Macaca fascicularis: one gene and its partners. The protein of the gene in region 3 interacts with the protein of the main gene of each other region in a biochemical or structural test. Links are inferred from orthologs where the notes say so. Each region holds a gene or a part of one and is shown on either strand. Other genes may lie near its edges.

Evidence for each region.
Region 1: the proteins of RAB11FIP3 (region 3) and ARF6 form a complex in vitro, tested with the Homo sapiens proteins (2 studies listed by BioGRID). The link is inferred for Macaca fascicularis from reciprocal best matches to the Homo sapiens genes RAB11FIP3 and ARF6.
Region 2: the proteins of RAB11FIP3 (region 3) and ARF5 form a complex in vitro, tested with the Homo sapiens proteins (2 studies listed by BioGRID). The link is inferred for Macaca fascicularis from reciprocal best matches to the Homo sapiens genes RAB11FIP3 and ARF5.

The regions. Positions count from the first base shown.
Region 1 is NC_088381.1:117,824,502-117,828,157, reverse strand, and holds the start of ARF6 (ADP-ribosylation factor 6), read right to left. Parts: upstream 2,824-3,656; 5' UTR 2,762-2,823; intron 2,662-2,761; 5' UTR 2,181-2,661; coding exon 1,653-2,180; 3' UTR 1-1,652. UniProt on the Homo sapiens protein: GTP-binding protein involved in protein trafficking that regulates endocytic recycling and cytoskeleton remodeling. GTP-bound form plays an important role in the transport of multiple palmitoylated proteins form the Golgi to the plasma membrane.
Region 2 is NC_088377.1:169,261,891-169,265,636, forward strand, and holds the start of ARF5 (ADP-ribosylation factor 5), read left to right. Parts: upstream 1-1,222; 5' UTR 1,223-1,311; coding exon 1,312-1,378; intron 1,379-1,896; coding exon 1,897-1,977; intron 1,978-2,301; coding exon 2,302-2,411; intron 2,412-2,876; coding exon 2,877-2,948; intron 2,949-3,746.
Region 3 is NC_088394.1:1,268,050-1,271,695, reverse strand, and holds part of RAB11FIP3 (rab11 family-interacting protein 3), read right to left. Parts: intron 1,503-3,646; coding exon 1,421-1,502; intron 685-1,420; coding exon 547-684; intron 315-546; coding exon 159-314; intron 42-158; coding exon of another isoform or gene 1-41. UniProt on the Homo sapiens protein: Downstream effector molecule for Rab11 GTPase which is involved in endocytic trafficking, cytokinesis and intracellular ciliogenesis by participating in membrane delivery. Recruited by Rab11 to endosomes where it links Rab11 to dynein motor complex.

The DNA of each region.
Region 1 (3,656 bases), on a different chromosome or scaffold from region 3:
CTGTATACTGCATTTGCAGTCTACATTTCTGAAATTCCCTATTTAATTCCTTGAGGATCACTAAAATTAATCCTTAAGGTTATATAGGAACCAGATGCTGCTTTACAATTCTGCATCAAGCATTAACATTTGGTTCAAAATATTATCATAGTGGTCGCAATCCAGTTACAGGTCCTAACCAGCTAACCAAGTAATCTTGTTAGGATCTGGATATCACCAGCGAGCACACTGCTTACATATGAAGAAAAATAAGTTTACATTCATTGTCATCTGTAGGTTCTTTCTCTTCATCCTACGTCCCCTTTAATAGTCATCCCTCAAGTCTACACATCATTCATTCATCACGCTTCCTTCCTTAAAGGAGACAGTGTACTATTGAACCAACAGGATATCTTCATTATTTGCATGAGTTAATCCTACAAACAAAATTAAATACCTTTTTTATAAAACATCTTTTCCAGTGTTCTAATTGATGGAGATGTGGATCACTCATCTATAAAAATGACTTATAGCTTCAGCTTTATCAGTTGCTATAATGTGAAAACAGGAATGTGTATTTTTTTCAACTAGGTAAAAGGTGCATATAATTTGAATTGCTAAATGCTTTATTAATGAACAAAGTAAACCTTTTAGTAATTTTTAAGTTACTGGTCTCAGGCGTTTGAAACAAGGTCAAAGTATACATTCCAGTTTTGCCCAAAAGTCACTTAAAATATCTACAAATGTTTAATCTGTGTGTGGTATACACCATTATTGCTCCAATTCCTGGAGTCTATTTTTAAAGTTTAAAAAAGAGGGAAAACAGCAAAGTGACTAACTTTGCAGTGGAAAAAAAAAGTGTCCTTCATGGGTTACACTTTCATATTTTTATGCAGCGTTAAGTTAGCTACCTTGTGGGGAACTTGGGTTTTATTCCTACTCATGCATGATGTATGTTTCAGAACTTATTTGCTGACATTTCAGAGAACCTCTTACATTACCTGTTTAACATACTGAGGTGCAACTGGAACATATTACAATGATATTACTCATTACTCGCCACTGTGGGCTAAGTTTACTATACTGGTCTTAGATATAAAAGGTCACATTTGAAATTACTAAGTTAGAACTCATAAGGAAGGGGGGAAAGGCCTTAAGTATAAAAGACAAACGGCAGTTTGATTAAGCAATAATTTTCAGTTTACTAGATGAAACAGACTTGCAACATAGTCTGCATGAATGCAAAATAAGCCATCTACAGCAAGTGATAAGGAAACTGGGCAAAAAAGGAAAAAAGCATACATAGGAAAATGAAAGATTCTCTCGAAATAAAAAAATCAAACTATTATTACAAAGGACTTTACCAGGAACTGCTGTATTTCCCCCATCCCATCTGCTGGAAGTCAATAAGAGCATCTAGCAACTTTGTGTTCATGTCAAATGTCAGATCAGAGCATCCTAATGCAAAGCCAAAAAAAAAAAAAAAAAGGGAAGAAGAGAAACAAACAAAAGAGAAAACCCCCAAGCCCCCTCCCCCCAAACTGTAGAACAGTAACTCCAGAGTTCAAATTCAAAAGAAGAGAAAGTGGCAATTGAAAGAGGTGATGGTGGCGATAATCCTATGAATGGGTTTTTGATTTCTCTCCTTCCAGGGGATGGGTGGAGAATGCTCATTAAGATTTGTAGTTAGAGGTTAACCATGTGAGCCCCTCATAGAGTCCGTCCCCTGAGGTGGCACAGGAGGGCTGCACATACCAGTTCCTGTCCCGAATCCGGGTCAGGCCCAGTTTCTCCTGGATCTCGTGGGGTTTCATGGCATCAGGCAGGTCCTGCTTGTTGGCGAAGATGAGGATTATGGCGTCCCTCATCTCCCGGTCATTGATAATGCGGTGCAGCTCCTGGCGAGCCTCATCGATGCGGTCGCGGTCGGCGCAGTCCACTACGAAGATCAGACCTTGGGTCCCAGTGTAGTAATGCCGCCAGAGCGGCCGGATCTTGTCCTGGCCGCCCACATCCCATACGTTGAACTTGACATTTTTGTAAGTCACCGTCTCCACGTTGAAACCCACAGTGGGAATGGTGGTCACCGACTGGCCCAGCTTCAACTTGTACAGGATTGTTGTCTTGCCGGCCGCGTCCAGGCCCAACATGAGGATCCGCATTTCCTTGTTCCCGAAGATTTTGGATAGCACCTTCCCCATCGCGTCGGAGGAGCCGGGGCCGGGGGCATTCAGGTGTCCCGGGTCCCGTCAGCCAACAACGCCGCCGCCGCCGCGAAACCGAAACGAAGCCTCCCGGCCGCGAAGGCGCCTTTGCGGCCTGCGTGGGAGGTGCCTCCTAAGGGCAGAGGCCCAGGACTGCCGCTCACTCGGGCATCACCGACCGCACAACTTGATTCCTCCACTCGCCGCTGCCACCCGGGCCCTGAGTCTGCGCCGGGAGCCGCCGCCCTGCTGAGGCGCGGCCCGGCCCGGAACTGCCCTTCCCCCCGCAGGCGCCGCGCGAGCGCCGCCGCGGTTCCCGCTCCTCCGCCTTCCTCTCACCCCGAGGGAGAATGCGGCCCTCCGGCCCGCCAGCCGGCCTGCAAACACTGGGCTCACCACCGACCCAGGACACCCGAGAGGCAGCACGACTCCGGGGCCCCGTCAGGTCATGGATCCTCGCGGGAACTCGGTACGCTGCCTGCAGAGAAACAGAGAGGGAGAGGGGAGTTACCGCCAGAGATCCAGAGAGGAGTGAAGACAGAGGTGGCCCGCCTTTCCAGCTCGGTGCAGGGGGTTACCTCCAGCCGCCGCCCCGAGCGCGGGCTCCCTCCGGCCTCCAACTCCTCCTCCCAGTTCTGCCGCCGCCGCTGCCGGAAAAGGCGCCGAGGAAACCGCCTCACTTCCCCTCCCAACCACGCAGGCGCAGCAGAGGCCGACCGTTCGGACAAGAGCGACCTCTGTAAGGAGAGCGGCCCGCGCGCCTAGCGTCATGGGCGCCACGCGCCGGAGGGGCGGGGCTACGGCGTCTCGGAGGGCCCGCAGGTGCGGTTGGCCCAGAGACCTGCAACCTCGGACTCTGACCGGCGCCCACCTGTGGCTCTTCTAGCGTCTCGTTCCCTGTTTTTCTCTTCTGCGCTCTGCCCTCCCCTGCCCACCCGAACCAAGGGACAGATCTACTGGGGGGGCTCCACAGGGTGGGGCCCACGGGCAGCCCACTTTCTCCACGAACAGAGCTGCCTCCAGGCCTGTTCCCAGACCTCGGTGCCCGCCAGATGCTGTGCGAGTTCCCTCCGCCCGCCCCAGCCTTCGCGCACTCTCCGCGCACCCTCAACTTCCCAGAGAAGCTCTGTTCGCTTTTTTTTTTTTTTTTCCTTTTTCTCATCCCCTTCTTGGCTTTCTTTATCCCTTGAATTTTGTGTGTTTTCTGAAAGACACGTGGGAGGCCAGTGTCTCGTGTGGAATCTGCCAGTCAGTGCAGCGCTTTCGGGGAGTTGAGTTTACTCTAGCTCTTTTGAATGTTTGAGCCCTGTCTGCCTATAGGTCTCGTCAAGACCAGCCCATGTTTCTTAAAAACTGCAGTATTTATCAAGAGTTCCTGTGCCTTGCCGCGTTTTCACCTTTTTAGAATGCGACATCTGTTCATCTTTAAATATCACTTTATTTTATATGGTTAGTAGTAGCTTCTCACCCACC
Region 2 (3,746 bases), on a different chromosome or scaffold from region 3:
AAGTCTCCTTTTATAGATGACGAAATAACAGAAGAGTTATGAGGAGTGTTGAAGCCAAATCCTCAAGAAATGGCAGAATTAAGATTTGAACTAAAGCCTGAAACCACGTGCTGGCATGTGGTGGGTGCACAGTAAATATCTGCTGAAAAAGCAAATGAATGAATGAAGGGTTTTTTATTCCCAGCTCAGTTTACCTCGAGTCCATAAACAATTGATCCTAGAAGCCCACTGGGAACCCAGAGTAGGCATAACACCTGCCCTTGCTCCATTGGGAATCTATCAGTCCAGTTCAACTGAACAAGCATTTGTTAGGCCTATATTAAATGCATGGCATTGAGCCAGTCTCCACCGCAGAAGAATTTCATTCCTATTTTGCTATTCTCCTCTCAGATGCTAAAATGAGGCAGGGAAATGACATGTGAAGCTCTTTGGGTCTAGGGAGTCAAGATCCTCACAAAATCCTGAATGGGTGTGCAAGAATAAGCCAGGTCCACCAGTCTGTGGCAAAATGAGGCCCTTCAGCAAAGCGGCCAGCGCCTGGACTGAGAGGCGGGGCCCGCAGGGCGATCTAAGCGAAGGTGGACTTCAACAGCCCAGGAGTGGGTCTGCGACCACGCCGCCCAAGGCCGGGAATCTTACACTGGTTCCGCTGATTGGGAATTACGAAGTAGGCGTTTTGAGGAACCATGGAAGCTAGCTAGCACTTGGGCACCTACCCCTACCTCCGGCGCACTCTTCAAACGACCACCTCCTACGCGCAAGATCCTCAGTGGAAGATGAGGCGGTAAAGGGAGGACCAAGACCCCTAAGCGCATCTTCCGCTCCCCAAAGGAGAGTGGTGCGCACGTTCAGTGCTACTGGTTCCCAAGAGCTAAAACCGGAGCCCTAGCGGCCTGGACGCCACAAACCAAAGCCCAGCGGCCGGCCACTGAAAATGGGGGCAGAGGCCGATGCGGAGCGATGAAGCCTTTCCTCAGCCGCGCTCGGGCTGCCGGTTTGGCGGCCATAGGCCTGACAGGCACATTGGAGACCCAGACCCGTTCCCAAATAAGGGCAGCGCGGGACCCAGGCCAGAGGCGGCTACTCGCGGAGCTTCGGCTTCCCCAGCAGCCAGGCCCGGGGTGGGGCGGGGCCCAGAGCCGGGGGCGGGGCCCGGGTGGGGGCGGGCCCGCGGTGACGTCGGGAGGGCAGCGACGCGCGGAGGCGGTGGCGGAGCCTCCTCCTGCTGCTGCTGCGCCCCATCCCCCCGCGGCCGGCCAGTTCCAGCCCGCACCCCGCGTCGGTGCCCGCGCCCCCTCCCCGGGCCCCGCCATGGGCCTCACCGTGTCCGCGCTCTTTTCGCGGATCTTCGGGAAGAAGCAGATGCGGATTCTCATGGGTGAGGCAGATCGAGCGCGCGGCCCGGACCGGGGCGCCGGCCCCGGCGCAGCCCTTCCGCCCCCGCGTCCCTCCAGCCCCGCTCACCTGGGGCTCTGGCCCCGAGTCACCCACCTCCTAACGCCCCGGGGCCTCAGCTCTCGGGCGGGTCCCGGTCTGCAGCGCCGACCCCGGGGCCTGACACCCGGAGCTGCGGGCCTGGGTGGGGTGAAGCTCCCTCCGCCCCTGCCCGGCTGATAAGAAGGGAGGATTCCGCCCTTGGAGACGACTTTTAAAAGGAGCGCGGCCTACCCCCCGTGCCCCTTGCATCCCAGCCCTTTCCCGCGCCGCGCCCTCTTTGGAGTTGGCTCACGCCACCCAACTGCCCTCCAGGCCCCGAAGGTAGATAACGACGCGCACCTGGAGGCGCTCCCGCTCTCCGCCCCCGTCACCATCAGCTGTTGTGGCCTCTTCATTTTCCCTGGTCTCTAGGGGGCTCCCTCGCTCCCATCTCCATCCCTGTGCCCCTCTCCGTTGCAGTTGGCTTGGATGCGGCTGGCAAGACCACAATCCTGTACAAACTGAAGTTGGGGGAGATTGTCACCACCATCCCAACCATAGGTGAGCCCGGGGACGAAGCAGGGAGCGGGAGCGCCGCGGCGGGCCCTCTCGGGGTCTGCTCCCAGTTCTGCCACTTTTCTGGAGCTGACCCTGACACCAGATACAGCTATTTGAGAAGTGGGTCAGGGTATCTCTACGTGGATACCGGAGGCGGGGTGGATGTGACCTAGCCCCGCCCTGTTGACCGGCAGTTCTGGGGTTCTGTTCCCCTGGGCCTTGATCATTGCCTTCTGGTTTTGTGTCCCTGCTGAGATCTAAGTAGTTTCAGTGAGTTCCCTCCTTTCAGGAGTTTTTCTCATATTTTTTTTTCCCAATTATCTGCAGGCTTCAATGTAGAAACAGTGGAATATAAGAACATCTGTTTCACAGTCTGGGACGTGGGAGGCCAGGACAAGATTCGGCCTCTGTGGCGGCACTACTTCCAGAACACTCAGGTGGAGTGTTGGGAGGGGACTCTAACCCCACGGGAAAAGGTGTTAGGGCTGGGAGAACAGAATTGTTGGCCTGGGCTGGGCCCCCAGGCCAAGGAGAAAACCCTTCCCCGCTTCTCCCCCCTCTGTTTGGCTACCCTCTACTCACTCTTCAGAGCTCACCTTAGTCTTCACCAGCTTGAACTTCTCTTTAGAAGCAGGATTCTGGGGCCAGGCTGCCTGATTTAGCCCTCATCACATGTCTTTATTTCCTTGCACTTCTTTAGATAAACTACTACTTCTTTGCGGTGGGGTCTCTAGTTTGTGCTGGGACTTCTGTAGAGCTTCTATGGAGTTCTGTAAACTTCTGTAGCGTTTACTAGATGAGAAGGATTGACACAATTACAGACGGCAAGAGAAGAGAAAGGGCCACACTACAGTATGTCCCAGGCAGGAGTGATTGCTTCTCCTTTCTTCCTTCTTGCCCAGGGCCTCATCTTTGTGGTGGACAGTAATGACCGGGAGCGGGTCCAAGAATCTGCTGATGAACTCCAGAAGATGGTAAGTACCCAGAGCCCTGGGAACTGAACCCTCAGGTTGGGGACAGAGTGATCTCTCTAGTGCTATAGAAGTCAGGGAGCCCCCAACAAGCATTGAAGACCAGAAATACAAGTTTTTCTTTATGGACAGATACATTGTGTATCTCACCGTTTTGGATGGGACTGACTTTCTGTGCATTCTCGTGTCTTTTTTTTTTTTTTTTTTTGAGATGGTGTTTTGCTCTTGTTGCCCAGGCTGGAGTGCAAAGGCACAATCTCGGCTCAACCTCTGCCTCCCGGGTTCAAGCAATTCTCCTGCCTCAGCCTCCCGAGTAGCTGGGATTATGGGCGCCTTCTGCCATGCCCAGCTAATTTTTGTATTTTTAGCTGAGATAGGGTTTCACCATGTTGGCCGGGCTGGTCTCGAACTCCCGACCTCAGGTGATCCACCTGCCCCAGCCTCCCAAAGTGCTGGGATTACAGGCATGAGCCACCGCGCCCAGCTGCATTCTCATGTCTTTACATCTGAGTCTGAGAAGTTGCAGGGGAAATGGGACTTATATGTGGTAAAGAGAAACATTTTACATTCTTGCCTTTTCCATTTGGAAATGTTGTCATTTTGCCTAGGCAAGTACTCAAATTAGGAAAAGGTCTTTCATTTCTGGACTTATGGCTCAGGTCACCTCAAGCGCATTTATAACTATGTCTTGTCTTCAGTGGCAGACTACACAATATTTTTTTTTCCAATCAAGATCCTAGGAGGTAGAAAGGGAATTCCCCATACAGTAAAGAAGACGCAGCCTGGGTCCCATCTTCTCTT
Region 3 (3,646 bases):
CTGGGCTGTGGCCCCTGCAGATGGCTGAGCAGGGACAAGGACTGCCCAGGGAAAAAGGCCTCCAGCTCAGATGCTGACCCTCCATGTCCCCACCTTCCCAACCAGCCTTGTGGAACATTCTGCAGGAATGTGAGGGAGGGAGGCCCAGGCCTGCCCACCTGCTTCAGCCTGCGGACCTCCTGCTCCAGCTCGCTCTCCCGGGCGCGGCTGTGGTACTCCTGCAGGCCCATGCTGCTGCTGCGGCCCCGCCGCTGCTCAGCTTCCAGCTTCAGGAGCTGCAGGTGCTCCAGCTGCTTTCGGAGGTCCTCGATCAGCTGCAGGGCAACCGCTGGGTGAGCCGGGGGGCCTGGGCTCCCAGGGGACACCATCAGCCATCACTTGGCTGTAGAACCTCAGGGTTGATCTGGCCGTCTCTCGGGAAGACGACACACACCAGCAGCTATGTCCAAAACTCACAGCCAAAAGCTAGCATCTTAGGAAACAAAGGCTTCCCCTGGGGCAGGCTGGGGGCAGGACTGGCATGGGGCAGGGTGGGTGCCAGCTCACCTCCTGTGTGGCCTCCTTGTCCCTCTGGAACTGGTGCCTCTCGTGACTCAGCCTGTCCCCCATCCTCCTCTTGTTCTCCTGCTCTTCGCTGAGCCGCAACGTCAGCGACTCTATCTCATCCAACAGCTTCTGCTTCTCCTGCAGGGGTGGACACCTGCCCTGGATGTGCGTTGCCCTCCCACCTGTGCATGCAGCTTGCCCCGGTCGTCTGTCCCTCCAGTCTCTGAGTCTCCCAAACAGCAGCATGGTAGCCCCCGTGTTGGAGCGCGACAGGGCTGGGTCTGAGCCTTCTTGCCTCTCAGTGGAGGTCAAGGCCACCTGCCTCTGGGCGCCTCACACACACAGGCCACGAGGGCCATTTCTCATGAGGGGCAGGAAGGACCTTTGTGTGGACAGGACCTGACTCAGTGGCTGTGGGCAGCTCCAGCCGGGCTCCTCTGGTTCACGGGAGCCAGGGCCCAAGTGCTCTGAGAATATCCTTCCTGGGAGCTTCCCAGAGCACAGCTGGTGAGGTGGGGGGAGGGAGGTCTCACAGTGATGAGCTGGGGTGTGGGAACCCCACATGCAGCCTCTGCCTCCACGTCTGCAGGGGTCGGGGCGTGAGTGGCTGGCTGATGCCTTCCCCTTGGAGGACACTTCCCAGATTCAGAGCCCTGGGTCCATCTAGGAGTGAGCCTCTGGGCCCTGCTCCTGTGGGTGGAACAGTGCCTTCAGGTCCGGTGCCTTCCAGTGGCCTGGGCCCTGAGCTGGCCCTGTTCCCTCACACACAGCACAGCATCCTGCTCAGCACAGAGCTCAGGGCTACCTCGGCTGCCCCACAGGCAGGGCACGGGCTGGGCCCACTAGCCACAGCTCCAGGATGTAGGCAGCTCACCTCCTCCAGGCGCTCAATGTTGGCCTTCAGACAGGGCGTGCAGGACCGGAGCTCACTGTTCTCCTCGTCCAGTTGCTGTAGCCTGGGACACGAGAGCAAATATGAAACTCACTCTGGGAAGCATGTGCCTCTGCAGGACCAGGGCGCCCCGTGTCTCAGGGAAACCCTGCTGGGGCTGCCCTGTGACACACAGACGCCCCCAAATGACCAGGGCCAGTCCTTAGGTGCCCACCCAAGTGCTCCGGGCAGAGCTTTTCTGTAATCTTTGAAGGATTTTATTTTTTATTATTTTATTGTATTTATTTATTTATTTTGAGACGGAGTCTCGCTCTGTCGCCCAGGCTGGAGTTCAGTGGCGCAATCTCGGCTCACTGCAAGCTCCGCCTCCCGGGTTCACGCCATTCTCCTGCCTCAGCCTCCCATGTAGCTGGGACTACAGGCGCCCGCCACCACACCCGGCTATTTTTTTTTTTGTATTTTTATTAGAGATGGGGTTTCACCGTGTTAGCCAGGATGGTCTTGATCTCCTGACCTCATGATCCGCCCGTCTCGGCCTCCCAAAGTGCTGGGATTACAGGCGTGAGCCACCGTGCCCGGCCTTATTTTTTATTTTATTTATTTTATTTTTTTTGAGGAGGAGTCTCACTCTGTCACCAGGCTGGAGTGCAGTGGCGCAATCTTGGCTCACTGCAACCTCCACCTCCTGGGGTTCAAGCAATTCTCCTGCCTCAGCCTCCTGAGTAGCTGGGATTACAGGCGCCCACCATCACGCCTGACTAATTTTTGTATTTTCAGTAGAGACGGGATTTTGCCATGTTGGCCAGGCTGGTCTTGAACTCCTGACTTCAGGTGATCCACCCACCTCAGCCTCCCAAAGTGCTGCGGTTACAGGTGTGAGCCACCGCACCCGGCCCTCTTCTCTGTTTATTAATAGTCATTTATTTGTGTCACGATGGACTCATGAACTTTATGTTTTGGATTGTAATCCAATGCTATCACTATGAGTTTGTTACTTGAACTGTTCCAGCTTTGGCGTCTGGCAACTCCTTCAGCTGGCCCGTGTCCCTCTGACATACCCTGTGTCTGTGCTCATGGCAGGGGGGGGTTTAGTGTAAGCACTTCCTCATTTTCAGATACTACACACTGCTGCAGGCTCAGCCTGCCTTTTCCCGTCGCAGCCTCAGAACTGGCCATTTCTCCAAGGAACCCTGGATCTTCTCCATAATCCAGTTGTCCTCACTATCCTGTTACCCTGCCATCCCTTCTAATTCAACCTAACCTGCACCCACACCCAGAATTTGGTGTAAGATGGAAACCCAGGGGCAGCACAGGGCTGGGCGGGAAGGGCTTCAAGTGTCCTCTACCCAGGAGGGTATAAGATGGAAAAGCACAGGGCTGGGCGGGAAGGGCTTCAGGTGTCCTCTACCCAGGAGGGTATAAGATGGAAAAGCACAGGGCTGGGCGGGAAGGGCTTCAAGTGTCCTCTACCCAGGAGGGTATAAGATGGAAAAGCACAGGGCTGGGCGGGAAGGGCTTCAGGTGTCCTCTACCCAGGAGGGGACTTGCTCTTGCTTTGCAGAACTGATGATTGAGACCAGGGGCAAAGCAGATGCAACCCCTTCCCAAGAGCACCTGCTGGCCTCTGCACCACCAGGGAGGCCACGGGGTGCCCAGGACAGGCGCGCTCCCAGGGACTTGTCTGGGGCTGGTCAGACCCTTGGCCACAGGCGTTCGTCAGGAGGACAAGGGCACTCACTGGTGTCACTCCGGTGTGTGTTGGTGCTCTGCAGTCCAGACTCCTCCTCTAGGGTGGGGATGGGTGTGACCCAGCTGTATGTGGGGGGGGACCCTCCTGTGTGAGCCTTGCCTTCACCCAACTTCCACAGTTCCTGGTGCTACCCACTTCTGAGCCTTCATGTACCAAGATGCAAACCCCGGTACGTGTCGCCTGCGTGGCTGCCCCGAGATGCAAACCCCGGTACGTGTCGCCTGCGTGGCTGCCCCGAGATGCAAACCCCGGTACGTGTCGCCTGCGTGGCTGCCCCGAGATGCAAACCCCGGTACGTGTCGCCTGCGTGGCTGCCCCGAGATGCAAACCCCGGTACGTGTCGCCTGCGTGGCTGCCCCGAGATGCAAACCCCGGTACGTGTCGCCTGCGTGGCTGCCCCGAGATGCAAACCCCGGTGTAGCTGCTGGCGCAGGGTGTTGTGTGTGTTAGGAGTGTGT